Linked DNA regions of Saccharomyces cerevisiae S288C. Changing the gene in region 2 together with the main gene of any one other region gives a genetic interaction. Each region holds a gene or a part of one and is shown on either strand. Other genes may lie near its edges.

Region 1 (12,271 bases), on a different chromosome or scaffold from region 2:
TGAGAGAAGTCGATGTAGAGCTCATGAAAAGCATCTCCAAATACACAAATGTACTGCCAATAATAACAAGAGCTGACTCATTCACCAAGGAGGAGCTAACTCAATTCAGGAAAAATATTATGTTTGATGTGGAAAGATACAACGTCCCAATTTACAAATTTGAGGTTGACCCTGAAGATGATGATTTGGAATCCATGGAAGAGAATCAAGCCTTGGCATCCTTGCAACCATTTGCTATTATAACTTCAGATACCAGAGATAGTGAAGGTAGATACGTTAGGGAGTATCCGTGGGGGATAATATCAATCGACGACGACAAAATTTCGGATTTGAAAGTTTTAAAAAACGTCCTGTTTGGTTCTCACTTACAAGAATTCAAAGACACCACGCAAAATTTGCTTTACGAGAATTACCGTTCCGAAAAACTATCGTCCGTGGCCAACGCTGAAGAAATTGGTCCTAATTCTACAAAGAGACAGTCAAATGCTCCAAGTTTAAGCAACTTTGCCTCTTTGATAAGCACTGGTCAATTCAATTCTTCTCAAACTCTTGCAAACAATTTGAGAGCGGACACACCAAGAAACCAAGTAAGTGGAAACTTTAAGGAAAACGAATACGAAGACAATGGCGAACATGATTCAGCAGAAAATGAACAGGAAATGTCTCCCGTGAGACAGTTGGGTAGAGAAATAAAACAAGAAAATGAAAATTTGATAAGATCTATCAAAACAGAATCTTCACCAAAATTCTTGAACTCTCCGGACTTACCAGAGCGTACCAAGTTAAGAAATATTTCAGAAACCGTTCCATATGTCTTGAGACATGAAAGAATTTTAGCAAGACAACAAAAACTGGAAGAGTTAGAGGCCCAGTCAGCTAAAGAATTACAAAAAAGAATTCAAGAATTAGAAAGAAAAGCACACGAATTGAAATTGAGGGAAAAACTAATAAATCAGAATAAACTAAACGGTTCATCATCTTCAATCAATTCTCTACAACAGAGCACAAGGAGCCAAATTAAAAAAAATGACACGTATACTGATTTAGCCTCTATTGCATCGGGTAGAGATTGAGTTGTATCTGTACAAAATCCAAAGCTGAGCAAATAAATAAATAAATAAATGTATAAGTTACCGAACGGGGGTATTTTTACTTTTGATCAAAAATTTATGTACCAACTACAAAGTTTCCTCAGCACAGCCTTCAAGAAGGGAACACACATACAAACAGTGTCAAATAATTGTAGGGATAAATTTAAATATGGCATAAACTAAATAAGTAGAGCATGAAAAAACTGCAAAATCCAAAAAGTAAAAACGAAGGTCAGAAAGTAAAGCAAAAGAAAATTAATAAAGCAATACTAAATCTATCATGATTTCCCGTAACTTCCATTAAAGCTGTAACCAGATTTACTCCTACTGTTTGAGCCTCTAACGCCTAATGGATTTTTAGAGAAGCTCAACCTGATACCTCCTTTGTTGTTGAGGGAAGGGCGGGGGTGAGGTAGTTGACTACCATATAATTCTGCCAATGCTCTAGTGGCAAAGCTAACATCCTCAAATTCTACAAAACAAATTGGACCATGGCCATGACCGTTGCCATGACCGTGAGAGTTCATTTTATTCCTGAAGGATAATCTACGAAAACCTTGCTGATTAGAAAACAATTGCCTTAATTCTTGTTCCGTGGCATCCGGAGGTAGATTACCCACATAAAGAGTATTACAAGGAGGATTTTGGTCCGCGGGATTGGCTGGTGGTGGCACCTTGGCTAGTAGTGATAGGTCAGCCTGTGAAATAGTTGTGGAACCTGCCACATTTGTTTCGTTATTTTTCGAAAATGCAGAGGCAGAAGCTGTAGAAGAACATTCTTTCTGTCGTGATATTGTACTGGTGTCTTGTTCACTCACTAAAAAGCCTTGATTCACCTTTTGGTTGTTGAATATTGAAGACCCGTTAGGAGCAGAAGATTGTGGGTGGCCATTTTCCGTTTGGAGATTCAGGTCCAAATTGGAAGGAACATTCGAAACGCTCTGCTGAATACTTTGTGTCTTAGTTGAAGCATTAATTTGGTTCAATAAGTGATAATGCGGTAGAGAAGTCGCGGAATGTATTACTCCTGAATTGTTCAGATTAGGTTGTGATTGAATATGTGGAACATCCTGGCTAATTGAATGGTGGGATGGAGGCAACAGATTAGACTGATGATTTTCTTGGCTAGATAATTGAAAAAGAGGAATATTAGCAGTTGAGGAAGCATTCCACTCCATCACAGGCGTAGATGACATCGGAGGCTCTTGTAAAGATGCACCAAATGAAGAATTACCAACATCATTAACTAATTCATCACCATTCCAAATACTTTCATTTATTTCATCCTTTTCTAGTAGCAAAAGTGACTTGCCAGCGTCCTTCTGAGGTGGCATTCCTGCTGGAACTGGTGTGGTGGTTACGTTTGATAAATCATGTTGTGAGATGCTATTTCGTAGAAAGGGTACGGATTCTTTTCTTTGAGAGATTGTTTCCAATCCGAATGGGTCATTGAATGAGAAACGGAGGGATCTCTCTGAAAGTAATGAAGGCCTTGGCTTGGCCGCTGAAGGCCCTAATGGAGAGGAACTAGTTTTTCCATATGATATAGTATTAAAACTTTGATTTTGAATTTCATTTTGCGCACTGGACGACAATTGGTAATTCTTTGGAGAACTATTTGTAGTGCCAGATGAAACATGTTCTTGAAAACTCACTGGAAGCTGCGTTTGTTCATTTACTACGTCAATGTGAGACCTAAAGGGGAAACTAGGCCCAAAAATCTCAGACTTCGAGTTTAATATATTAGCATAATGGGTTACTAAAGAAAGGGATCCAAATTTGACCACAACGACTTTTTCATTGTCATTAAAGGGTTCTCTATCATCCCTTTTTAGTTCTATACTTGACACCCCAGTTGCTAGTGAAAATATACAATAACACTCTCTTAGTGTAATGTCTTTTGGCAAATTCCTCAGCAAAAGACAGTAGGGGCCAACATCCACATCATGTGGGGCTAAAGAATTGACGTCATTCCCGTTCCCTTTCCCCGTGGACATGGTCAAATTATGAAGCATAGAAGTCATAATAGGTTCTTTTGCAAAACCTTGCGGGTTCTCTCTTTTAATGTTAGTCTCGCTGTTGCTCCTAACTGCGGAAAAACTATATGCAGTTGGCATGGGATATGTTGCCTCCTTTGATAATGGAACGGTTTCTGAACTAGAACTAAATGCCCTTTCTATAAGAAATTTGGATTCGTTTAAATTCGTCTGATTATGCACTAATGACATTGTTAATTGAGAAACCTTAAGCGTTATTTTTCAGCGTAGATGTGGCAACTAAGGTTCCTGTTTTCAAAAACCCTGCTTTTTTGAAAAATGCTCGAAAAATAAAGAAAGAAGTCAGTCCCTTGTTTTAGCAAAGTGATAATTTGTGAAATATGACACAAGTAGAAGATAAACCTTTACACGCAGAAATAACAGCGGATTATATTTTGATTCTTAGATTTCCTAATTTCGTGAACTTTTAACTAAGAAGGAAAAAACAATTGAGATGAGATCCAAATGGGAGGAGTTTTGAAACAATTGTTTGCTATTATTTCAATGATTTAGTGTTGCCACCAGATGGGTCTATTTTCTGTAAAACTACCGGTTCGAGGCTCCTGCCGTAACCTTAATTGTACTTTTCTATGATTTAATCCAAATAACCATTCCATTCCTCTTTAAGTCTAAGAAACATTAAAAAACAAAAAACACCACGTCCGGGTAATGAAAATATAACGCTGGGTAATGCACGTGTTGATAATTACATCGTTTTTCACTAATATCGTACCAAACGAGATGTTTGCAGAAAGAACAAACCAATATTTTAAATAATCAAAAATCAAATTAGCTATTATTTCTCATTTGGTGATAATAATATATACATACATATATATATATATATATAAATATATAGGTATATATATAAATAACCTAAGACAAGTTAAATGAGTATAAAAAACCTTGAACGTAAATGAAAAAAAAAAAAATACTAGTAAATTGACAACATAAAAGACAAAAATAAATGAAAGAGGAAAGTGGTAATAAAGTGGTTAAAATTTGTTGTAGTTGTAGATAGGAGGAGTCCGCGTAGACAGTTATTCAAATTCAATTGAGGAAGAAAAATAGATTTCAAAGAATACTGGGAATTTGTTAATCGAGAAGTGTTTAAATTTCACTCCTAAATCCAAAAGTACCGCCAGAAATACTTTTTCTCACTCTACCCATGAAACTTTGTTTACCAGCCTGTTCCTCACCTTGCTCGTCGTCATGGTAATCTTGCTCACCCTCATCGGAACCGTACTGATGATGTCTTGGAGTGTGCTCGGCTGAATGAGTAGAATTATTATAGTCGTAGTCAGACCCTTTTGAAGAATTCTGTCTGCTGTGACGGTGATGATTGTGATGATGTTTTGATTTTCCGGAACCCATTGAACCCACCGACACTTTCCTTCCCTGAGAAGTTGTTTCATTATGAATTGAATAGGAAGTGGTTTCTGGGTAGGTGCCCTCAGATGGCTTTTGAGAACTAGAGGTGTTGGTGTCTTTAAATCCGTATGTTGGGACATGTGGGTCAATCAAACTAGGGAAATTACCAACTTCGGCAGCATAAGCGTTTGAGGCGTCGGCACCACCAAGGTCGGTTCTACGTTTGTTCTTCAAATCTACTTCACGCTTGTAGCCCGGTGCGTCTTCCTCTAAAACTTTCGCATTCTTATTGACATCAATATTATCGTCGCTAGAATATTCTTGATTTTGGGAATTGCCGCCAGAACCGTAACTGGCCTTTTGTTCTGATGATGGTTCCTGATCGTGAGTCATTCCAGTAATATCTTGTGATTTGGCATATGTAGGGTCCGCATTTTTAATATTATCGTAAGCAGCTGTTTCAGCATCCCCTGATTTGGAGTATGTAGTGTCTCCAGATCTGGAATTATCAAAGGCAGCAACATTAGCGTTTTCGAGATGAGTGTCTGTATTTTTACTATCATCAAAAGGGTTCGAGCTGAAGGTCTTGGATTTTGCACCCATCCTTCCGGTTGTATCTACGTTTCCAGTAGTACCTGTTTCCGGATTATTGGTGAAATCCTTGGCATCGGATGCAATATCCTGTGTTGTTTTTGCTCTTCTTGGCTCAATTTGGTCAATAAAATTAGAACGCGTTGGAGTTGGGCCTGATTTATTTTTGCTTAAATCAGATAATTTTTTGTTACCAGAAGTATTCGAGTATTCGTAATTGCCAAGACTCTCATCTCTTGCAGTCTCCATACCAGCACGGTTAGTGGTTTGCCTTGGAGACAACGGGTCTTCATCTTGTTTTTGCACTGATTTTGACAACGTATCAGGTTCAAAAGTACCTGGGATTTTCTCTCTCTGCTCATAATTGTAATCCGATGGTTTTCCCTGGTACGCTTTCTTAGAATACAAGTCGTTTTTCTTTGCATTTGAGTAGTCGTCAATATCATTCTCGTGGTAGTCTTCAACATCATCCAAATAATCCAACCCATATTGATGAGGTTTAGTAGAATCTTCATTCATATCTTCGTCCTTCATAGCAGGTGATACAACATTGTTTCGGGTGGTGGCATCATTAGAAAGCCCGGACCATTCTGCTTCATGACGGGGTGACATGTCAATATTGTTGTTCGTATTTTGAGAACCAGCTTGTGAACCGGCAACATATTGCAAGTTATCCCTACCATTATCATTATACTTCATATGTCCTAATTCGGTTCCCGCTTTAGGCATATTCTGAGATCCAGATGTACCGCTGTCGAATTTCTCCTTCATACTAGAAGGTATAACAACATCCTGCAGATTCTTATTTTTACCAGCGCTGGAACTATATTCAATTGGACCCCAATTAGAATCCGTCTTGGATTTAATGTTTTTCTGTTGATAATCATCGGCGGATTCCAGAATGTCATCTCTTTCAATGTTAAATTTTTCAGCCGCTCTTTCTGATATATTTTTATTATCAACCTTATTCTTTTCTGGGTGTTGAATGTTTTTATTGCTATCATGATAAGAAGGTTGCTGGCTTACAAAACCACTTGTCCCGACTGCTGCTTTGGGTTCAGGTTCCATAGTTTGCTGTTGGATTGCATCAGAACCAGAAACTTGGTCATTTTTCAATCCAGTTTGTTCGCTCTCATCCATCTTCACGTTCTGTGCAATTTCTTTAATTGTATCTTGAGGAGGACCAGTCGCAGTGTTGCCAGAGTACTTTCTACGATCTGCAGACTTCGAACTTGTGTCCGTGTAGACACTAGGGTCGACAGCGTTCATACCGGAACTAACATTACTCTTTGGGCCTGTACTTGTGTAAACACTAGGATCAACAGGGTTCACATCAGTACCAGTCATGCCCCGGAAACTACCAGGTATGACATCTCGATCTGAGTTGGAATCAGTGTTCGAATAACCCTTCGTAGCTGAGGAGTTATCTTTAACACTTGTATGTCCATGAGTAACTGAAGGGTTAGTTTTAGTACTGGAATGATCCTGTGCAGCAGCGGTGGATTTAGGACCAGTGCTTGAACCAGAGTGACCATGGCTAACAGGGTGGGTAGTTTTGACGTTGATATGTCCATGTGTAGTTGCAGTGGCTGATGGACCAGTATTCGCTTTAGAATGCTCATGAGTATTGGTAGGAGATGTGGTTTTCACACTGGCATGACCATGTGTGTGAGTGACAGGGGAAGTGGTAGCACTGGAATGACCATGCGTGTGAGTAACAGGAGAAGTGGCAGCTTTGGAAGTGCTGTGGTTATGAGTGGTTGCAATACTTGGATGCCCTGCATCACCTTTGGAATGTCTATGCGCAGTGGGGGACGCCTTTATATTTGAATGTTCATGGCTAGTGGGAGGTGACGTTTTCACTTTGGATTGCTCACTTGTAGCAGCGGGTGTCGTTGTTTTGACATAAGAGTATCCATGGGTAGTAATAGTAGCATTAGGGCCAGAACTTGACTTGGTGTCGGCAGAAACAGGGTTCACATCAGAAGTTACGTTGGCACGGCGGTTAGCGTCCGCCTCAGTGTCTTCGTGTGGAGTTTCCGAGTCTTTATTATGCTTCTTCCTCCAAGGTAACAGAATGTTTTTAGCCTTGGTTTCCAAATTCTTGGACGTTGATTCGGGCTGTTCTTTTGGTAAGTTATATTCGGTCGGCTTTGTAGTACTGAAAGACTTTTTGCGTTGAGCAGAATCTGAATTGGAATCATAGGAACCGGGCTTACCACCAAACGAAAAATTATTTTGTTCTTCTTCGCCTTGACCATCTTTGGAAATGGACTCGTTCATATTCATATCTTGGGTTGGGTGATATTCTTGATAGCTCTCCACTGGGAAATCTTCACGGTGTTCGGTATTATTCTTATCTCTACAGTTACATATAAAAAAAGGTGTTTTTGAGTTAGTTAGTATTATATATTAATTTTCTTGAGGGGGTGGTATTATTAAAGAATTAAATTCAATATTATTACTATTAATTACACTAAGGTGCCGGGTATTATTGACGTTTTTTTTTTCTTAGTCTCTTTAATGAAGAAGGAAAAAGAACTAAGTTATTATTAGAAGGAAAAGGAGGAGGGGAGGCGAGAAAGAATGGTGGAGAATAAATGAAAATCTCCAAGAAAAAATTTCAGCACGATACATATGGATTATACCATGTCACAAAAAAATATTTCGGTTGGAGGTAGATGCAGAGTTATGGTACTGCGAATGTAGGAAGAAAAAAAAAATTAGGAAGTATTTTATGGTGATTATTTCCTTCCTAGTCGCGTACCGTCACTGGCCCGGCAAGACCACCATCCCCAGCTGGTTCTAACTCAGCTGATGGCACCTGCTTTCTTGTTTTCAGTTTTTGAAAGAACTTGCCATTGCCAGCCGGAGTAGTGGTGGTTGTAGGTTGAGGCTGTCCAACCACAGGTGCGGCTGTGATAGGGCCCGCGCCGTCCGTCGCCCCACTATTGTAAGTGGATTTCTCCATTTGAGCACCGGTGTCAACAGAAGGGCTTTCATATTGGGCATACATGTCGTGGTCCGAGTAGGTAGAGTGGGCCTTGTGGGTAGCACTGAATATAGTGGACCAAATGGCGTTCACGAGCATCAAGAAGACCGAAGTCCAGATGAACGCAAAGTTTTTGGGTCCCAGCCTTGCAGACCTCCCGCTGTTGCGGAAGGTCTTTCTGGCCTTCACATAGCAACCTGTGTACAAGCATGCAGCCAATATAATGAAGAAAAAGGCCAACCAGGACAACACACAGTACAGGACTGGCACTGCCTTGAAAGGAAGGAAGGTAGCCAGAAAGCCGGGTACCAGCGCCAGTACGATGAAAAATAGGGAAATCAGCAGCATGGCCCATCCAACCCTGGATAGATAATAGTAGGTATCCCGGTTGTTTCTGAACGACGATGGTAAATTGACAGAGTTACCAAAATTGTCTCTGGGAGAGAAAGGCTTGGCGGGCGCCCTGCTAGAGCAATTAGCTAGCTGGCCGTCTTCGTAGCCGCACCAATTGTAATTGTACCATCTCGTGGTCGATGGAGCGCTGTTAAAGCCGTTTGTATCAGCCTGTAACCAATAAAAATTTTTCAGCGTTCCAGATTCTCTGCCTCCTGACAGAATAAGAAAAAACGTCAATAAGCCAGCACCGAGTAGGAATAAAAACACAAGCAAATTAACGAACCTTTTGAAAATCATAGCGGTAGATTATAGTGATTAGTGTTACTTGTTACTTGGATAAAAAGGAAAGTATAAGCGTTAAACGTAAATACCTCTTTCTTTTTAATTCACTTCAAAATTACTGTACTTAAAGTTTGCATCTAACGGATAACTAATCAAGAGAACAAAGCAAGATCAAGTAACTGTTGCAAAGCAACCATCCTTTTATATGTCGGCATCTGCGCCGAATGCTCCTCCCCATTCCAGACTATCCTTGTTTTAGCATCAAGAAGGAAGGAAGACCTTTCATTGACTCTTGCTTCTTACCACTCCCCTCTTTCCCTTTTCCTTCGTGTGAAAACGTTCCACTCCCTTATATTCAGAGCACCCTTAAATTTGGTTATTTGGTCTTTTTTTTTTATATTACTCCGAGACGTCACTGCAATTTGGCACCGCCGCGTTGGGCTGCGCGGATCATGTCTTACGAGGTGGGAACGGCTCCGGCGTCATCGTCATTATCCTCCTCCTTTTTCACGGTGACGCCATTTTGCGCGGCAAGAAGTCGCAGAGGATTGACGGTAGCATTAATTGCGCAATCAAGACTCCCTGAATCAGGAGCCGCTGCAACCTTCGGATGGGCCAGCTGTTGTTGCAATTCCCGAAAGGTGCATTCAATTGGGCACCAGATCTGGAGTGCCACGGTAGTGTCAGGGAACAGCGTGAGCGAGGAGGTTATATTGAATTTAAATGAATGGCCGAGAAATTGTGCCAATTGCGTATATTTTTCCTCAAGAGGCTGACGCTGTAAGTAGGCGCTTGAGCGGTTGAAAAAATAAGCAAAGTTCTTGGAGGTAATGATGTGTAGTTGCAACACTCGCTCCGGGGCCAAGCCGCGGGTTTGTAAAAGTGGGAGCTCATTCGTGATATGGAAGCAGAGATCAGATGCGTGGTACTCGATGGCGATGATACGGCCCTCGCAACTGTATAATGTGTTGCTCTTGTGTGTTTGCTGTGGGCGCGGGAGGCGAGCCGAGGAGTCCAAGAGAGAAGATATATCTGTGAACTTTACATCGAAGGAGGACACGTCTGCATTCAGGTCGGGTATGTGTTCTGCGAGAGCTGGTGTAGTGGGTGATTTTTTTGGTTCATGCTTTACTTCATCGAACCTCAGTTTCGCGAGATGAGAACCGTTTCTATGTATGGGGAAAAACCTCCGGTACTCTTCGAAATAGCGTGAAATTGCGGATTCGCCAATTCTCTTGAACGCTCGTTGGTAGAACAATCTTAAATGTTCGCACTGTGAAGGCGAGGCGATGCTGCTTATTTGGGAATGCGGGACCGGCTCACATTCGCGCACAATGGCATTCAATTTGCCGTTGTACATTTTCACTTTTATATTCATCTTACAAACTATGCCGTATTGCGAAAGGTTTTCATCGCGGCCGTTCTGTAGATCTCTTAGCCCGTTGTTGAATATTTTTCTGAGCTTAGAGTCAAACGTTTCGAATTGGTTTTTGTACATGATGGCTTTGAAGCCCTCGTTCAGCTCTAACTTGTTCTCGTAATCTATTAGATATCTGTCGTAAAGATAGTTTTGGACGATATCGTTCTTGGTAAAATCGCTAAAGACAAAAGATATAAAGGCAGGTTTATCAAACGAGCAGGAGACTAGCATGCCAAACATTGTTATGTATTTGGTCTCAAAAGTGTCGAGTCCCAACTGACAGAATTCGATGGTGGGGTCTTTCCTTGCCATTTTGCTCATCCTTGTGCGAGACGGATCGATTGACGCCGACGATTGCGCAGGCACCTGCACCTGCGCCTGCGCCTGCGTGTCGGTGCTAATGTTCTTCAAACTCCATACTGCCATACCTGGGCTGGCGGTCTTGTCATTGTCCCACAGGATCCTTTCAACTTCGACGGAAATTCGATCAGGCTTTTCCAGTAGTAAAATATCCGATATCTTGTCGCTTTGACAGTTTAAAACACCGAAGAGCTCACAGATTCGCTCTCTCGTCGGGATAACGATCTCAATGCAATTGACGCCTGGCACCAGGACCTTGTCTGGGACATTTGGTAAGAGCTGCGTAAAATATAATTTCAATGTGCAATATTTGAACTCATTTATACTGGCGAATTGAGGTGGATTCATGCCAACAATTTTGCCCTCTAACCTTTCAACTGAGCCTACACTAGCTAGGGAAAGTTGCTCATAACTGATGGCTTTGCGGATTGAGGACGCGTTCGGACTGTGGAAAGAAAGCTTTCTCTTCCTCTTGCTTCCGGAATCATCATCGTGCCAATTATTTGGTACGCTTGTTTTCCTTTCAGGTGTCTGTGACTGGATGTAGGATTTTGAGCTGAAATATTTCCCGGTAGAGGAGGTAGTTGAGGAATCTGAATCCTCAATGGGATCTGCGCTGTCATGCATTTCCTCTCCCATGTTGCTTATATCTGTGGTCGGTTCATCTACATTAAGCGTCATAAGCTGCGAGTTGAATTCGTTTTGGGATTCAATGTAAGGTATCCCTAGTCTATTTGGCACAAAGAAAGGATTAATTGCTGCGGCTTTTGATTTCTGCGATAATACCTTTTGTTGGTCTTGAACGAACTTTTTTAGTTCTATATCGTAGTGAATCAACTTTACAAATTTAAACCTGTTTTTCTCGTCTCTATTCATTTCTATTAAATTGTTGAAGATATCCACAAGTGAGTTGTTCAAATCACATTCTGAAATAAGTTCTGATGACGAATGCTTGCTGCTATTTGTCGATTTTGTAGATATGGTGCTTATCACACTTACCAAATCCAACGGTTTTATGTCCTCTAAGAATAGAGTATAGTTCCCGTGTTTTGATACATATAAAGCTTTACAACTTGAAAAACATAACCTTTCAAGGTGAATATCTCTCAGTATTACTGTTGGGGATGCGCCTGAGTCAGAATCTAAATCTGGCAGTTCAATATCAAAGTATTGGCAAAGTAAGGAAATAGTGATCCGGGCTAACCTCTCCGAGCCCCTATCTTTGAACTTCAGTTTGATTAAATATTGATCTTCTTGGGATTGATCTCCTCGCCTCTCAAAATTAGAAAAGCCTAGCAAACATTTTGTTTCAGTCAGGTGTATTGAGGTTAAAAGCGCCACGAATTGCACGGGAACTATTGCTTTGCTGGGATAGCCTTCAAAATCTTTACTCGAGCTCACAAAAATACGATTTTTATGTGGAGGACACTCAGGCTCTTCTAAGGTATCCATTTTTAGGCGATAGTTTCCACGGTCATTCGTATCCAAAGAGAAACATATATGAATATATTCTTAAATTTCCATTTTGAATTAGCATTTCGCATCTCACTAGGCCTTCGCGTCTCTTATGACGTTGAAAAATTTGGATATCAAAGGTTTAAAAAGTATAATCACGTTAATCAAGGCTGCATGTACATATTAAATAATCCACATATTATTCAGCAGCGGATTTACAATGAAGATTGTCTTACAAAAAGTCAGCCAAGCATCTGTAGTCGTCGATTCAAAAGTT
Region 2 (11,629 bases):
ATGAGTCATTCATGGACGATCTGAACAGGTGTGAGCAATTAGGGATAGGCCTGTATAACTTACATCCAGGTTCTACTTTGAAAGGAGACCATCAGTTGCAGTTAAAACAACTAGCCTCATATTTGAACAAAGCAATTAAGGAAACGAAATTTGTTAAAATTGTATTAGAAAATATGGCTGGTACTGGAAATTTAGTAGGAAGTTCTCTGGTAGATTTGAAGGAGGTTATTGGAATGATTGAAGATAAATCAAGAATCGGCGTTTGCATAGATACATGCCATACATTTGCAGCAGGCTACGATATCAGCACCACTGAAACGTTTAACAATTTTTGGAAAGAGTTCAATGATGTAATAGGGTTCAAATATCTAAGTGCTGTTCACTTAAATGATTCCAAGGCTCCTTTAGGAGCAAATAGAGATTTGCATGAACGCTTGGGTCAAGGTTATTTGGGTATAGATGTGTTTAGAATGATCGCGCACTCTGAATACCTGCAGGGTATCCCTATTGTCTTGGAAACTCCATACGAAAATGATGAAGGCTATGGTAATGAAATCAAACTTATGGAGTGGTTGGAATCAAAGAGTGAGAGCGAATTGTTAGAAGACAAGGAGTATAAAGAAAAAAATGATACGCTGCAGAAATTAGGTGCTAAATCGCGTAAGGAACAGTTAGACAAGTTTGAGGTTAAACAAAAGAAGCGAGCTGGGGGCACCAAGAGGAAGAAAGCCACTGCAGAGCCAAGCGATAATGATATCTTGTCACAAATGACAAAGAAGAGGAAGACTAAGAAAGAATAATGAGAAGCGAGAAGAATTTTAAATACGTAATCAATTTTTGTAGATTATCTCAACGTACGTAACTAAATGCTACCCTTCGTCATCCAAGATGCTGTTGCCCATTTCATAGAAACTACTTACTTGGTTTATAGATGTTTCGCGTTGCGTTACAGAATAAGGCAGCCTTTTTTTTTTTTAGATTTTCATTTTTCACATACTGATGGATTAGCAGACGAAAAGGGTAAAGTTAAATACATTCCAGTAAATGAACTAAGAAGGCTGAGCACACCATCCTCTTATGGAACGTTATTCCTAAGCATAGAAAGTTTTTTACTTGTAATCTTCAACGCGGGGTGTGTTCTTTATCTTTTTTTTCTTTTTTACACAATTAGACAAGTATATTTTGAGATAGTAATCACATCTACGCTTCGAATTCATCCATACCCACAGCAGCTGTTAGGTTATACCGACAATGGATGAATATAGTAGTATATATTCACAACCAAAGACTCCTCGGTTGAAACAAGAAGGATTTCCCGACTCCATTGGCGATCAACACGAAAAGGCATTGATTGATGAAAATGGTGAGGAAGATAAAAAAATGGCATCCACTGAAGGGACCACTGGTGATTCTCGCAGTACACCTTTGACTGTATCTATTCCGACGTTTGAAAATGTCCAAGCATTACCTACACCGATGACCTACACTCCGTTATCCCCAGGCAATCTGTCAATGTCACCTATAGATCAATCCTCGTTGAATATACCCAAAAGACGAAGTCATGCACGATTACTGGATGATATGCTTTCTGTTACACAACCAAACCAAAGAGTTGTTTCTGAACTTATTGCACCAGCTAATTTATCCCCCCAAAGGGTTGTTTCCTTACCAACAGTGACTGAAGAGGCTTTAGTAAATGATTCTGTTGATAGTGATAACTACACGAAAGAACCTTATTTTCCCGAAAGTAGTAGTTCTACCGAAAAGTGTGACGATGATATATTTCAGGGATTTCTTTTAGATCACTGGGATCGCCCGTTATTATGGAAAAAGGTCAGGCCCATTGGTTCAGGAAATTTTAGTACCGTACTTTTATATGAACTCATGGACCAAAGCAATCCTAAACTGAAACAAGTGGCCGTTAAACGACTCAAATATCCCGAGGAATTATCAAATGTTGAACAAATCAATACATCGTTACGATATAAGGAAACTTTATCCCGTTTGGAAAATTCTCTGACTAGGGAATTGCAGGTGCTAAAATCACTAAATCACCCATGTATAGTTAAACTACTTGGGATAAACAATCCAATTTTTGTTACTAGCAAAAAACCTTTATGCGATTTGATTATAAAAACTCCAAGAGCTCTGCCGCCTTGTGATATGATTATGTCTTATTGTCCTGCAGGAGACTTATTAGCTGCCGTCATGGCCCGTAACGGAAGACTAGAAGCGTGGCTGATTCAAAGGATTTTTACGGAAGTAGTACTGGCAGTAAAATATTTGCACGAAAACAGTATTATTCATCGGGACCTAAAATTAGAGAATATACTACTGAAATATAGTTTTGATGATATCAACAGTTTTAGGGACTCACCCATTTACTGCAAGCAAAATTTCATTGAGCTAGCAGATTTTGGTCTCTGCAAAAAAATTGAGAACAATGAGATGTGTACAGCAAGATGTGGATCAGAGGATTATGTCTCACCAGAAATCCTGATGGGAGTTCCCTACGATGGCCATTTAAGCGACACGTGGGCCTTAGGTGTCATACTATACAGCTTGTTTGAGGACAGATTACCATTTGACCCTCCTCCAAACGCTTCAGCAAGACAGCGTAGCAGAGCTACGTCACATCGTATTGCCAGGTTTGATTGGAGATGGTACCGGTTAAGCGATTATAAAACTAATGTGGGAAAACAGATTGTGGAAAATACGCTAACGAGGAAGAACCAACGTTGGTCGATTAATGAAATTTACGAATCCCCCTTCGTTAAAACGATCGCTGATACTCTAAGTTTTTCTTGAAATTTCCCACGGATGGGAGTTACTTTCGTTTTCTTTCTTATTGCTTACACCTGATAATCATCCAGCATATAGAAATTGTTCTTTAAATATCACATACAGTTCCATTACTTGACATTTGCAACATAATATTTCTGCTTTTTTCTCTATTTTGCATCCAATATAGCTTCTATCTGCTTACTACTGTCTTTTTGACAATGTACAATATATATCTAAGATAGTTACGAATAAAAATATTTTTATTAATTCCATAATATTTAATTACATAGAGGCAGCCAATAACAAACAGGTAAAGAGTTGTGTAAAGTGCATATATTCGTCTTTTATTCTAAGTTACTCATTCTAGCACTCCAGGTTGATTTGCTCCTCCTTTTAAGCTTTCACTTCCGGCTCTATTTCCTCTTCTTCATCTTCTTCATCGTTTTCTTTGAAATCTCCCATGTCCAAATTACCACCGCTTTGAGCCAATAATTGCTGCAATTGAGCCATATCTGGAGAACCAGCGCCACCAGCACCTCCCATCATTTGGCTGAAGTCCATGCCTCCAGCACCTCCAGCACCTCCAGCACCTCCCATCATTTGGCTGAAATCCATTCCTTGAGCGGCATCATTACCTTCAGCTTCAACTTCGTCTTGTTCATCTTCATCAACCCATTTATCGAAATCAGTTTTGATGTAAGGGTACTTCACCTTTTCCTTTGTCAAACGTGGCCAGTATTCAGATTCTAAATCCTTTTTATACAATTTCAAAAAGTAGTGCTGGCCATTAGCAACCTTATGCATTGTTTTTTCAGGTATAATTTCCTTGTATAGATCAATGTGTAATTGATAATGATGGACATTTTCATCGCCAACATGAGGCTTTGATTGAGCCTTTAATTCGATGTATGATGGCTTAATGGTTAACTCAGGGGCATCACAGTCTGCAATTGACACAGTTATTAAGACATAATTTCTTTCTGGATCAGTAGTACTAGACCTTTGAGCCCATGCAACTTGAGGGTTAATAACTTTATCGGACATGACTATTATGAATCGATGATCTTGGGAACTTGTTGTTGTAATGAATTGAGTCCACTAGGTTTCTCGAACAAGTTAATACATTGCCACCCATTTCGTCTTTTTATGCTTTTTTCCATGCTAATTCTTGCCGCTCCTCTCCGCCCCTTCAAAAACACTCGGAAGGCGGGTAGCATTAAAAGTCGAACAGTTTGTTGGTAACTTTTGTAGGTATATGTGTACCAATAACCACAAATTAAGTATTGATTATCACAGTCAACCTCTTTGTATATCAAAAATTATACTCTGTATTCATAAAAGGCAGTTATTTTAAAAGCAAGTAACGGCAGGAAAAAAATTATTAATAAGTATAAAAAGATTGGACGAGTCCGGAATCGAACCGGAGACCTCTCCCATGCTAAGGGAGCGCGCTACCGACTACGCCACACGCCCTATTTACTGTTAGTGTATTTCCACTTAGATTACTATAACAAGCTCTTTTAAACAATAAAACAGTTCTATAACAACCGATTTACGAAATTCTTCTGAGTAAATGAGGTCACAAATGAACTTTCTTTAACTTCCTCTTTGTCTCCATTCGTTTTTCCATGCTTTTTTTGTTTCTGTCGAAATGAAATCCTTGTATCATCTATTGGCTAGTATTCGTCTTCCTAGAATATTATCACAGCGGTGTAAGATGATGACATAGAGATTGGGAAACAGTTATCGGTCTTAATGGAAGCTGAAATGCAAGGATTGATAACGTGATAGGGTAATGAATGGCAAAGTATAGAAGAAAAGAAGTTAGAGTAATATTATCATGTAGAAAGACCGATTCCATTTTGAGGTTTCCTATACCCTCGAGGGGAACTTTTAGGATATTCTGTGTATCTCATACTATAGTCTTTAACTATGATTGAATCCGAACAATTATATTGTTCACGAAATACTCAGTTTTACAAAAATCTTGTGTATTTAACTGACTCAAAGTAGACATGACGGACGTGTGAATATTTAAAATGAGAAACGAGGAAGCGAAAATAAAGCAAATCTCACATGAAAACGCTGAAAGAAATGAAGAAAAGGTAAGATAGGATAATTGACGATTGGCATCACATAAAAGAACTCTAATGTTCGAAATTAAACTGAATGATAGAATAACTGAATTTCTGCGAAAGTTCAAGAATAGCGCGAAATCAAACGAAGGAATTGATGAGGACATTGATTTGTTCCTGAAGCGACACGCAATACCTATGCAGTCACTTCTTTTTTATGTGAAAGAGTATAGAAAAGACAGTGATCTCCAATGCTCTATCAAAGAACTTTTGAAACCTTTGGAGTTCGAATTCAAGCCCAAGGCCGTCAGAGGTTTACACTATTCAGAGGATTTCAAGAAAAAATTAGAGTTTTTGAAATATCAGGAACAAGAACTTGAATATCAAAGTATGGTCAAGAGAAGCAAGTCTGTCTTTTCACTTCAAGAAGACGATGAACTCACGCCTTCACAAATTAATAAACAGATTAAGGAACAAGTTACCACTGTTTTCAACGTTCTTGTAAGTGTCATATCGGTTGTTGTGGCCATTTGGTACTGGACCGGATCTTCAACAAACTTTCCGGTCCATGTTCGTCTTTTGTTGTGCTTGTTCTTTGGAATATTGGTCTTAGTAGCAGATGTGGTTGTGTATAACAGCTATCTGAAAAAACTCGAAGAAGCAAAAGTAAAAGAAAAAACAAAGGTTGAGAAAAAGAAAGTTCTAAGCAAGATTACACTGTAACTGATCATTTTATAAATAAGAACTCCGAGATCCGAGAGCATATAATTCTTGGAACTGGACAATTGTGAATAATGTTCTGTATGTTTATAATTACGTTTATAAAACTATCGTGTATGAATGTGAAATAAAAAATGCTCTATTATCCTTAATGCTACATAATATGAAGAAAAAGGTTGTAATGAAACCATTAGTAAAGTAGAACTGTCCTGGCCAATGAATGAAACTTCAAACCTCGGAGTTTGTTATGGGAATTAATTATGGCCTAAAACTCTCGACTCTATCGAATAAACTAGTTTCATTGTCTGTTCCATGAAGGTCAAACACATGATTGTATGAGGTGCGATTCTGAACACTTGAGCTGCAAAACCCTTATACAAAGCGGTTACACCTTCGATTCTAACAGTTTTGACCAAACAATCTATAGGTCCCTTGTACAAGTCACCTTTTTGATTATAGATTCTTGTCAAAATGACATCCCATGGGTTCATAACGACGGCAACACCTAACCCAGAGATAGTACTAGCAGTTAAATGTAATGCTGGGCCATCTTTCATCAGATCATTTTTGACCAAAATGTTCTTTGCTGTGTTGTAGATAGGTAGTTGAACAGAGGAACCAGCACCTGTCCTTAAAATTGCCGCATCAATACCTCTGAATAGACCCTTAACACCTTCGGTTTTAAAAATGGTTACTAACCCGTTCCAAACACCGGTGTAGTGCGTTTGTTCACCAATTTTTATAAACTCGGAATATGATTGAAGTCTTGTTTTCACCAAGAATAATGGAGAGCCAATGACTGCACCAATTATACCAGATGCGGCACCAGAAAAGACGTTAACTCCGACGCTCTGTACCTTATGTGGCTCTTGATCTGGGAAGAAAAGCTGATTTAATGATGATCTGATTGGCTCATAAAACCCTAATCTGGAACCATTTAGCCCAATTTGATAGATATAAGCAGCATTTAACCCTTTTTGCAGACCTTTTATACCTTCGTTTTTGAAAATTACCGCCATACCTTGGATTGGATTTTTATAAACTTTTGCAGCTGATGCTGACATTTCACCTTGAAGCTGCATTCTGATTTTAATCAATTCGATCGGATTAGTAACTGTAACAGCTATACATGCTGCTAGCCCACCAGCCACAAACGAACCAAACTTCGATATCTTCTGGGCGGCTGTTTTTTCAATTTGTTTATCTTGTTTAGAGTTGTCAGATGACATATTTGCTTACGATATAATTCGATGAGATGTGCTTGTGTCTGACTTGCTATAGCAATCTAAGGAAAACTATTTCGGATGGAGTTCTGGAGTGGGGGCATTATGGAAGAAGAAAGTATATCTTAATGTTGCATATAATCACATAGTTTATATATATGCAGTATTTATCATTTGACGACTTAGTCACAGCTTGAAATTTCAGCGGTGCTTAATGTTCGTTTTCTTTTTTTTTTTTTTTTCCGCAACAGAAGGCCGATTCCGCTGTAACTTAATGAGGTATTAAATGCCAGATTCGTTTTCGTGACCTCCTTTAGCATATCGGCAGACCCTGACTCGCAACTGGAATAACACCACATGCGAACAAAAGCATATTTTTGCCCTACTTAATTTGAGAGTGGAAAATCTTTCCTCGATTTCATTTTTCTTATAGCCCAATTGACGTCTCTGTAGGCCCTAATAGACCCCATCGGCCTAAGACCGTTTCCGGCATCTTTCGGGTTGTAGATGGTTCTGTGAGAAAATGTGTCAGTAATGAAAAATAATAAAGATCGCTACAGATATAAATAATAATACTATGTTATTTGCAGACATGCTTATGATCTAAAGACGGTGGAACAGATAGTTTTTCCTCTTACTTTCTGATTCTCTATCTGAAATTATTGAGGATTGTACCACAATCAGCACACGTGAAACCGCTATCACCGCCAGCAATGGGGTTTTTGGAAGCACATTCAAAATTAGATCCATTGCAGACGTCACATTTCAACTTCGGATAAGTGGTAGAAACTCTCGGAATATCATGCGGTCCAAACACCGTGGAGCTCGTACTTTCACTTCTTGACTTTAGGGATATAAAACTTCCATTGGATTTATTAAAGATCGAATTCTTGAAAATAGCACTAGCTCTTGATGGCATGCCGGAAATCACCGGGCTATTATTAGGATGCAGCTCACAAAAATCGTGGCTTGGCCTACTATTGTGCGTGTTAGATGGTGGGGTTGTGCTAAACTCATTATCCTCTGTGGAACTTCTTTCATCCATTCTATTTTCCAATATGCTGTCATTGTTGTGGTTGTTGATTTTACCAGCAGCTTCGAGGTGGAATAAATTGTATTCATGGAACTTTTCTATTATTTTTTTTCGTATTTCCGGTAAGATATCAGTTCTGAAAACACGGATTAGACCTTGACTGTCTGTTGTTATTAGAATGGTTCCAACATTATTCACAACGTTCGATAGGTTTGAGCTGAATCCTCCTGTTTCTGTAACTGGGTGATTAGGTTTGTTATCACATGTTTCCTTAGATTCTGAATAATTTTGGCCCATTTCTTTGAAGTACTGTGAAGTCAGTTCGAAAATCAAATCGTTTGACAAGGACAAATTTTTAATTGCAACGTCGGGAGCAATGGAAGCACATGTGACAGGGGAGTTATGGGCATGAAATGATATATAATGATTGTTTTTGATAGCTTGAGAACCAACAGTTTGAGTTTGAAGAACATTTTTTGATGAGTTGGTAAATGTGTGTGAGCTGCTTTGGTTTGACGTTTCTGTCAAACATTCATCATTCGTACTCTTATTAGATACAATTCTCAACAGCCCTTTTAAACTCATACTGCCGCTCAGCCGTTTCTTTCTATGCGGAGCAGTGCAATTCATTTCTGCTGAAAGATTAAAGGACTGCATTTTCCAGGTATAAAACCAATGATCATCACTTCCCGTGAAAACTACAGGTTCATTTTTCATCATTAGGAATTGGCCTCTATGACGTGAGGAACCACTTTGGAATCCTTTAAAAAGCTCTAAAGGTTTTTTTTCATTTAAATCAAAGATTTGAATTTTTGAATCATTTGTCGTAACTATCAATCTTAAATTTTTGTCCACCTTAGAAAAGAAGCATTGTAAACCCGTGATTCGAGGGCCGTGTTGGACCTTTCCATATTCGGAAGATGGATGAAAGCTATTCTTAGTGGTTCCTTGAGTGCTTTTATCAGATACATGGAATGAAGATACAAATTTTAATCCATGTGTCAGTAAAACATAAATGTATCCATTGAATGTACCGATAATTGTATATTCCCCACCAGGAGGAGATAATGTTAGGGATGTTATCAAATCTTTGCAATCAAAGGCATAAGAAACCTCATTGTCCAGTATAGACCACAGTCTACACCTGTGATCTAAGCATCCGGTAATTATGAAACGATCATCATTGGGAAAAAATATTGCGGATGTAACAAAATCTGGGTGAACAAAAGTTTTCAATGAGTATTTCCTCTCAGGGTGCCATAGTTTTGCAGTTTTGTCCATTGATGCTGTTATTAGAAATCCATTTTTGGACCAGTTTGCATCCAAAATATCTAAAGCGTGCTCCATAAAAACCCTAAACACATCAGAATAGAAAACCGGTGCGTATAAATGTAATTGTTTGGAAGGTCCTTCAAACTGGTCGCTCGGCTTCAAATCATTACTTGATATGGAGCCGTTATGAGAACTAATGCTCGCCAAATGTCTTTGAATCTTTAGTGAGTTTGCTCTAGAGGCACTGACTGACTTTTCTGAGCGTCCCATTTCGGATCTCTTAACTGGTGAGTTTATGACTTTCCAAAGATGCAAAGAGCCATCTTTACAACCAATAACCATATACTTACCATCATGACTGAACGTACAGCAGCATATTGAATTCTTGAATAGCTCTGAATTAGCAACTGCAGGTTCTCCCTGGTAGGTTGTAGATTTGTAAACGTCGGGAATTTTCAACTCTTGAGCTAAGAACATTCTATCAAACTGTTCTAATCCTTCCTTTTTTTTAAATATTTTAATATATGTGGGTTCTTCGAGATAGTTTTCGAAATATTTCCTATCGAATAGGTCGAAATACCATCGGTCATTCTCACTGAGTTTATTGTACCCATTTGAAACCACTGAGTTTCTGTGAAGTGTTTTTCTCAGCCTCGTGCCGTAGTCTATATTATCAATGAACCTTAATTGAGCAGGAATTATATCGGCAGAGTAGCCTCCATCATATCTAGAAGAGCTTCTTTTTGAATCTGCAATAGAGGAATGTCGGCTCCTGTCGCCTGGTATGTTCAAATGTTTCGTTTGGCTCTTTTCTTTGGGATTTACAGGGGTTGCATTGCGATCACCCTCGTTGGAGTTCGGGGTTTCATCATAGCTTAAAGTGCTTGTTTTCGACTTGAACATTTCACAGGCTCCTACTGCACAAATAGTAATTCTACGTTGGTAAGGATTAAAACGGTACTGAGTAATAGTGCAATTGACGTCTTCGACGGCTAGCGCTTGTAAACTTTCCTTGTTTTTGTCGCACCGTTAAAATAAAGATCTTGTTCAAGTCAGCTCCTTCTTAGAATAGCGGAAGACGTTTACTAAAGTCAGTATATGCCTGTAAGTTGCCTGTTAGTTGTTTTCAAAATTTCTTCCTGCTTGACGCAAATACCCTTTTTATGAAAACTCTTTTACGCATTTTGAATTATTAGCGGTACATTAAAACGGACTTTTCATTCCGTATTGGCGGTTATGCTAAATAAAGAAAAGAAGGCACCTAAACAAACCCAAAAATGCTTTCACAGGAATCATCACACCAATATGGCGCATACTATCTGAGAGACTGTTTCAAAATAGTAAATAATTGAGAGTTTTTTTTGCGGCAATTACATCTTTTTAAATATTTAGTTATTGAATGATTAAATTAGAAGGATTGATCATAAACAACACAAGAGAAACAAAGAGTATGGGGGATAATTAGTACTTTCATTTCTTTACCTGTGTACGGCAAAAAATATAAAAGGGCACTTCCATCAGATACACCACTAGTGATAGACTGACGGTTTCCCCTACCTTTTACAAGTCACTTCCCGTACACCATTATCAACATTAAATGACGCCTGAACATTTATTATTTGCAAACATCATGCTTTGATCTTTGAATACTTGATAATCATGCTTTGATAGATGTGGAAGCAATTCGGTAGAAAAGTTTCCTCACCCCAGTATTTTCTCAGTGCAAAGAGTTTGTCATTACCACACTAGCTAATGAAAGCCTCAATTCGTCCAGCTGAAAAAGATACGTCTGCATACTAGTAAATGGAACCGGATGAGCACAAATACAGATTATTAATGTCAATAACAATGACAATAGTTCCGCTATTTGCGTCACTTTTTACTTATGGCAGAAGGCAGGGTAAGCCGCACCACTCTTGAAAAGTTAAGAACTGACTATTTTCGCGAGAACAATGCTAAAAGTTTCAATTGTGCTGTCTTCGATTGACCCAAATAAAAGAGCTTCCCTCCGCGAGCAAATTAACAGACCTAATTGAACTGGAAAACATGTCTGTGAAACCCATTGACAACTACATCACGAACAGTGTTCGCCTTTTTGAGGTGAATCCATCTCAAACGCTCTTCTCCATATCGTATAAACCACCAACACAGAAGACAGACACCAAAGTGTCCTTTAGAACTCATAACTCGCATTTATCCTTGAACTATAAATTTACTACTAATAAGAGTAAAGATGTTTCAAGATTACTTAGTGCATTAGGCCCACGAGGCGTATCTATAACTCCAGGTAAAATTGAAAAAATAGCACAGTCGAAGAAGAAAAATAACAAAATAAAAGAATCGAGTAAAAAAATAAAAGGTAAGAGCATCCAAGACATTGTTGGTTTAGCCACCTTAATTGTCAACACAGATGTCGAAAAGAGCGATCCTGCGGCTAAGAAAACTGCTACAGAACCGAAGCAAAAAGCTAATGCTGTGCAAAATAACAATGGTAACTCTGCAGCTTCAAAAAAGAAAAAAAA
Region 3 (7,255 bases), on a different chromosome or scaffold from region 2:
AGGGAAGATACCGAGTGCAAATGGCAAAGCTGAGAACATTGTGACTGAGATCAACCCCAAATTGGCCAAAGTTTGCACACCGAGAGACTTACCTTTGAGGACACCGCGTTGTAGTCTAACCAAAATCAAAGGTGGGATGACCATAGTTGGAGTGGCGTTAATCACTCTACTTAATGCAGTTTCACCAACTGCCATGAAGGCAGCCTTCTTGGACTTTCCGACTTCGTCACCGTTAGAGTCAAACACAGAAATACCCTTTCTAATTTCGTTGCCTCTCATTAGGAAGACGTTGACAATACCGGCACTGACCACGGCGGCAAATGGCACCAAACGGCCCAAGATCAACTTTGAATGTGGAGAAATGTTTTTCAACCTGGGAACTAGGTTATTTAGACCTAACGCAACACCACACGACGCAGTTACAGCGGCAGCGTAATTGGTGAGCAATTGGGACGTGGACATAGGATGAGATTTGTTTGCGTTAGCGGAATTAACGGCGACGTTTAGCGATTGATTTGCCCATTGCCAAAATACAGTCCCTGCCGTACCCAAACCAGGCGTCAGCATACCTACAGTAACGACTAGGTTTGATAGCACGTTGGAAGACATACGGAAGGGCAAAAGAACTGTCTTCCCTGTGTCCGGATGCACGGTGGAGTCCAGTTGTTTCTTGGCTCGCCAGAACTCCGGAGTAGTCTCTTTTAGTTCACCGTGACGATACGCACTGATGATTTCTCTAGCATGCGCCAGGTCCTTCTCAGTAGTTAACAACATAGTGGGGTCGGAAATCTCTGCGCAATGGCGGATTCTACCCCAATACGTGGATAAGTCATAGCGGGATTCGGGCAAATCGATGGGCCCTGGGACTGATGATGCCATATTTCTCTGCCTTGTTTATTTTTTTCTTTCGATGCTGTGTGGTTTTATTATTGCTAACTTGCAGTGGTCGACGCCTTTGAAAACTGTAAAGCTGATGCGAAGACCTAACAGTCTCTTATCCAATTACCTCAATCTGGTACGCTCCGGTACCGGACGCCAGTACGAAAGAAAAACTTTTCGTTCGTCTCGGGCACCATTGGTATAAAAAGCGCCGAGGCAGCGATCATTTTTCTAGTATTACTCTTCTTTCATTTTTTAGTTATCTTTGATTTTCGGTTCCGAAGAAGGCATGATACATATTAAACATGCCTTCTATTCACTGTGCCATCTTACATCCGTAGGTGATCAGAGGGGAAAAGAAGAGCTAGAGCAACTCCCACACTCATGAGCGTCCTCATACTGTTCTGGGCGCTTCTCACAGGTGCTTCTTTTAGTGTCTCCCATTGGCCCAGATCGGTAGCTGCGCGAGTGAGATATCTTTCATTCATTTATATTTATCTGTAGCAATAGCTTCCTTTACTATTTTATTCTTAGGGAGAACTTTAGCTTATTTCTTGCACAAGAGGGTTTGACAGTTTTCTGTTACCCGGCCAGTACTTCAAAAATTTTTCAAAAATTTTCTGAAGTGCTCATCTCATCGCAAACCGTAGGAGCAGTGAAAGGCATATGCTCATCTGTATAATTGCAAAAAGACATATTCTATGTTCGCAGAACCAATACGTTACCTAAAGTTTTAAAGACAATACCAAGGGAAACTGCACAAATTCAATATGACAGAAGATAAATCGCAGGTTAAAATCAGGTTTTTCACGCGTGAGAAAGATGAATTACTACATGTACAAGATACTCCAATGTACGCCCCCATCTCATTAAAGAGATATGGGTTGTCCGAAATTGTCAATCACTTGTTGGGCTCGGAAAAGCCTGTTCCTTTCGATTTCTTGATTGAAGGTGAATTGTTACGTACTTCATTGCACGACTATTTGACCAAGAAAGGTTTATCGAGCGAAGCCTCGCTGAATGTAGAATATACCAGGGCAATTCTTCCACCATCCTATTTGAATAGTTTCAGCAATGAGGACTGGGTTAGCTCATTGGATGTCGGCGACGGTTCCAAGCATATTATTAGTGGTTCTTACGATGGTATAGTTCGCACCTGGGATTTATCAGGTAATGTGCAAAAGCAGTACAGTGGTCATTCTGGCCCAATCCGTGCAGTAAAATACATTTCCAATACAAGGCTAGTTTCGGCTGGTAACGACCGTACTTTGAGATTATGGAAAACCAAAAACGATGATTTGAAATTAACTTCACAACAACAGGCACAGGAAGACGATGATGACGAAGTAAACATAGAGGACGGTAAGACACTGGCTATCTTGGAAGGTCATAAGGCACCAGTAGTCTCTATTGATGTTTCAGACAACTCAAGAATATTATCTGCATCATACGACAATTCTATTGGGTTCTGGTCTACTATTTATAAGGAAATGACAGTTGTTGATCCATTAGAAGATATAAACAATCCAAACAATAAAATATCCACTGCTGCTAGAAAAAGGAGAAAATTGACAATGAAAGATGGTACCATTAGAAGACGTGCCCCTCTGTCTCTGTTAGAATCCCATACAGCTCCTGTTGAGCAAGTGATCTTCGATTCTACAGATAATACCGTTGGTTATTCAGTATCACAAGATCATACCATCAAGACATGGGATTTGGTCACCGCGAGATGTATAGATACAAGAACAACATCGTACTCGTTGCTTTCCATTGCTCAATTGTCGACTTTGAACTTGTTAGCATGTGGGTCCAGCGCCAGACACATCACATTGCATGACCCACGTGTGGGAGCGTCTTCCAAAGTTACTCAGCAACAACTAATTGGTCATAAGAACTTCGTTTCCTCTCTGGACACTTGTCCCGAGAATGAGTATATATTATGCTCGGGTTCTCACGATGGTACCGTGAAGGTATGGGACGTCAGGTCTACTTCTCCGATGTACACCATAACAAGAGAAGACAAATCGGTCCAAAAGGGCGTCAATGACAAAGTTTTTGCTGTCAAATGGGCTGAAAAAGTGGGTATTATCAGCGCTGGTCAAGACAAAAAGATTCAAATAAATAAAGGAGACAACATTTTCAAAAACTGAGAAAAAACTGTTGTTGTTTTTATGTAGAATAATGTACTGATATACTTGAAATAAATTTGGTTTTGCCAACAGCTTTCGCAAATTTCTGTCACCTTCTTCTTTATGTAAAACGACATTACTTGCTAAAAAAAAAAATACTTCTATGATAATGTGTACTTGTATGAAACTTCTATAAATTTAAATTGGTGAATTTTATCCAGCTATCCCCCAATTTACTATTTGAATATATGCAATTGTGATCTGTCTTAAGACCTTTTCAAACCATTCTGGCGGAAGCATCGGTGGCCATTTCCGTATACGAATAACCGTCTTCATTATCCTTGATAGCTGAGTATAAACTATTGGAAATGGGTTCATTACGATTTTGCGCATGTTGCCCGTCCTCGCGATCAAACGAGGCAGGAACGGGCTGCGTATGGGTCCTGCGCAGAGATAGCCTTTCACCTGGTTTTTCTCTAGTCGAAGGGTCTGTTTCCATGGTCCTTAACGTGGTCATCCTTGTTAGATTCAATTCACCATCGACAGCATTTACGTCATCTATACCACCTTCGGTCTCAGCCTCCTTTTCCATGGCGGCATAACCAAATTGTGACTTGTGTCTTAATTTGCTCCCCCATTTTTCAAAAACCCATGGAATTGGAATCATCACAACGCAAACTAATGCAAATAAAGTGCTTGCCCATTTGATTTTCATCTTTGTGTACATTTGGATGGTAAACAATGGGAATACACTACTCATAACGTATCTTAATAGATTATTGGCAGCCAAACAGGATGCCACAGTTAATGGCGGATAGCATGTAGAGAAGTACATTAAAACGCTGAAAAAAATCAAAATTAAACCAAAACCAAATGGCACACCGGCAGCCACAGGAGCCATCCAGTGGACATCTGATCTAGCAGTCCAGGCTTGCCAAAACAGGCCGATAGGCAAAGCTACAGAACCAAATTTACAGGCAATTAAAAATTTTTCTGGAACAACGGGTAGCAATTCACCTGTTTCAGCGTCTCTTGCACCTCTGTAAGGGGTAGTCCTTTTAGAAGTTCTCTCTTTTTCGGTGAGTGGTTGAGTGCCAGCTGGTGGTTTAGGGAAGAGATATTTTCTGTCGATGTAAAGGTAAAAGAAAGCACCTATCCATAACCCGACACCAATACCAATAAATGGCAAGCCAGATATCCCCATAGACATGTGGTAAACACCACGATAAATGACAGCGTATGCTTCGAAAAATCCAAATAAAATGGCGAATATGAAAGCGACATAAACACTGAAAACAAATACAATAGGTTCAACGACAAGCATTTTTAAAGGCCTTAAGATTGTAATAGTGACAGTGGTTTTTAAAAATTCTTTCTGAGCTTCCCTGCTGAACTTCTTCAAGGCTATATTTCTCTTCTTGGCACGCTTTCTTAAAATAATACCTTTATGGGTCTCTGGCATGAGCGCAATAAATGGCAAGATTAGACCGCCCGCAATCAATTGGATCCATTCAGACCAACGCCAGCCTTTGGCTTCAGTAGCAAATCCTGCCATAATAGGAGATAAAACTGGCCCTAAGAATGGAGATAGAACAAAGTATGTCATTGCGACGGAGACCTGGTCCACGTCAAAGATATCCAGGATGGTACCTGATCCAACGGATAAGGCGGGGGATGCAAAGACACCTGATAAAAACCTTAGGGGTAGAATTATTCTCATGTGGCCATTGGATAACCCAACACCCATGGTGAAAAGCATTGACACAGGTAGGGAAAATAAATAGACAGGCTTACGACCAAACACTTCACTTAATGGAGCGCCGATGACAGTCGATAAACCCAGAAGATAGAAAGTTAAACCAGCAAGCGCCAAAGTCTGACTAACGTGATATCTTTCTACCAATTCTGGTACGGAAGAAACATATAGGGAACTACCCATTGTGACGACCAAACAAAGAAAAGCTGAAGTCATAGTAGTATACCATTTCTTCAAAGAGGACCAATTATGCGGATTGTCTGGGTCATCGGGCCCGTCCCAATCGAGATCTCTTGGGTCAATTGGCTCGCCCCCTGTCATGTTATTGGAATCTGCATTCGGTTCTGATCTTTTTTCGTCCTCTGTTATTGACCCTGTCGAAGAAGAAGTCGAATCCAAGTTGCCGCTATTAGTTACATTTTTGTCCAAGGCTTTTGGTACCTGCTGTATGTTTGTTCGAGGATCTGAGTTAGATTCGGTTTTTGTCAAAGAAGAAGGCATTAGTAAAACTTAAAATATATGTATACGATGTCTATGCTTCTTTGTGTGTGTATGTGTGTGTATAAGATGGTATCTTTATTCTGTAATTTTCAGGAAAGTGATGACTAGAAAATCGATGTGTCAGGTACAACAAATTGACAACCTATAACTTTCCATACAGGCGAATATATATATACACATAAACACATTCAAGCCTCCGGTACCGTTTGCTCTGACAAGGACAATTAGCATGTAAGCACGAGTGCGGGTATGCAATCATTTCAGTGTTTCCTTCATTTGGCATAGTGTCGTAACACGGATTTAAGGTGAGCCGTCAGGGGCTTTTAAGCGGAGCCCCTGCAGCTTCATGAAGACGGAACCGCACGGGCCTATTACCTCGGGGATAGATCAATTATCCGAAGCGGGTCACAACCCGGAAATAATAACCACTATGCCCGACCGTACCGACGTGGCACTATTTTTGGGATCCGTGGAAGTCGGCCATTAGTGGTAATCGGCGAAAACAAGTTTATTGCAGCTAAAGCACGCCATACGGTTGATATAAACAGCAATTAGGCACTTTTTCTCTTATTATTCATATGCCTTATTGGCTTGTGGCTTGTGGCTTGTAGCCTATGCAAATGCATTTGCTGATAGCAGCATAAGAAAGTTGGGAAGAAACGCTAACTGTACTTTTTATATCCAGAGTTCATTAGTTGATCTTTTACCCCAATAATTTCTTCCACTTGCGGCCTGCTTCTTCGCATTTCTCCCATTCCGGGCCGCGACTCCGTAGTTCTTACAGAAACAGCCGCCTCCATAACCATCTATGATAGGAAAAAGATGGACAAACAGGAAAAGAGCTAGGGAGTATAACCTGATTCCTGACATGTATAGGATTCGGGTAATTTTGAAATACGAAGCTCTTTGCATTCCGAGACCGGTTTAGGAAGATTTATTTACATATCTACTTGCGCTATTGTGGTCATGCCTTCGAAAGATAAAGAGCGAATTTTGCTCGTATAAGCTAAAATCAGGTAAAAGTTCCTTATGTTGCTGCTCCTCGATGGCAACGTCGATCTAAGATCTTGATTACTGAATCAGGCGAAAGCACACGTTCATCTTTCGCTCATCGGAAAGAAAATTAAAACAGAAAAAAATTCTAAAATGGCAAAAAAGAAGAAAAGCTCAGTGAGGGCTGTATAGTTTATTAGATAAGCTACTATACGTACATATCTTTTGTAAATAGAACCAAAAATCTTCATGCTAAAGGGACCGCTTAAAGGTTGCTTAAATATGTCTAAAAAAGTTATAGTGATTGCTGGTACAACAGGAGTAGGAAAGTCTCAGTTGTCCATACAATTGGCACAAAAATTTAATGGCGAAGTTATCAATTCGGATTCTATGCAGGTATATAAAGATATTCCTATTATAACAAATAAACATCCGCTTCAAGAAAGAGAGGGCATTCCTCACCATGTAATGAATCACGTAGATTGGTCAGAAGAATACTATTCCCATCGTTTTGAAACTGAATGCATGAACGCTATTGAAGATATTCACCGGAGGGGTAAGATACCCATCGTTGTTGGGGGTACTCATTATTATTTGCAGACTCTTTTCAATAAGCGGGTCGATACGAAATCATCCGAACGTAAGCTCACAAGGAAGCAGCTCGATATTTTGGAATCGACTGACCCTGATGTGATTTATAACACACTTGTGAAGTGTGATCCTGATATAGCTACCAAATACCATCCTAATGACTACAGGAGGGTACAACGAATGTTGGAAATCTACTATAAGACGGGCAAAAAACCAAGCGAGACATTTAACGAACAAAAAATAACTTTGAAGTTTGATACCCTATTTTTATGGCTATACAGTAAGCCGGAGCCACTTTTCCAAAGGCTTGACGATCGTGTAGACGACATGCTAGAAAGAGGCGCCTTGCAAGAAATCAAGCAATTATATGAATATTACAGTCAAAATAAATTTACGCCGGAGC

The links.
Region 1: mutations in DGR2 (region 2) and HBT1 together harm fitness more than expected from each alone (negative genetic interaction), as found in Saccharomyces cerevisiae (one large-scale study listed by BioGRID).
Region 3: mutations in DGR2 (region 2) and TPO4 together harm fitness more than expected from each alone (negative genetic interaction), as found in Saccharomyces cerevisiae (one large-scale study listed by BioGRID).

Annotation. Positions count from the first base shown.
Region 1 is NC_001136.10:53,028-65,298, forward strand, and holds HBT1 (Hbt1p), read right to left. Parts: upstream 7,379-12,271; coding exon 4,238-7,378; downstream 1-4,237. Other genes in the region: septin SHS1, read left to right, coding at 1-1,073; WHI4 (Whi4p), read right to left, coding at 1,370-3,319; FMP45 (Fmp45p), read right to left, coding at 7,845-8,774; telomere-binding protein CDC13, read right to left, coding at 9,217-11,991; DTD1 (D-tyrosyl-tRNA(Tyr) deacylase), read left to right, coding at 12,215-12,271. UniProt on the Saccharomyces cerevisiae protein: Polarity-determining protein which forms a conjugate with the ubiquitin-like modifier HUB1. Involved in bud site selection and cellular morphogenesis during conjugation. Required for survival during stationary phase.
Region 2 is NC_001143.9:212,523-224,151, reverse strand, and holds DGR2 (Dgr2p), read right to left. Parts: upstream 10,011-11,629; coding exon 7,452-10,010; downstream 1-7,451. Other genes in the region: DNA-(apurinic or apyrimidinic site) lyase APN1, read left to right, coding at 1-800; serine/threonine protein kinase PRR1, read left to right, coding at 1,252-2,808; Hsp90 cochaperone SBA1, read right to left, coding at 3,178-3,828; VPH2 (Vph2p), read left to right, coding at 4,935-5,582; OAC1 (Oac1p), read right to left, coding at 5,834-6,808; signal recognition particle subunit SRP21, read left to right, coding at 11,154-11,629.
Region 3 is NC_001147.6:831,164-838,418, forward strand, and holds TPO4 (Tpo4p), read right to left. Parts: upstream 5,269-7,255; coding exon 3,289-5,268; downstream 1-3,288. Other genes in the region: FSF1 (Fsf1p), read right to left, coding at 1-879; YTM1 (Ytm1p), read left to right, coding at 1,650-3,032; MOD5 (tRNA dimethylallyltransferase), read left to right, coding at 6,511-7,255. UniProt on the Saccharomyces cerevisiae protein: Cell membrane polyamine/proton antiporter, involved in the detoxification of excess polyamines in the cytoplasm. Recognizes spermidine, spermine and the antimalarial drug quinidine, but not quinine, chloroquine and mefloquine.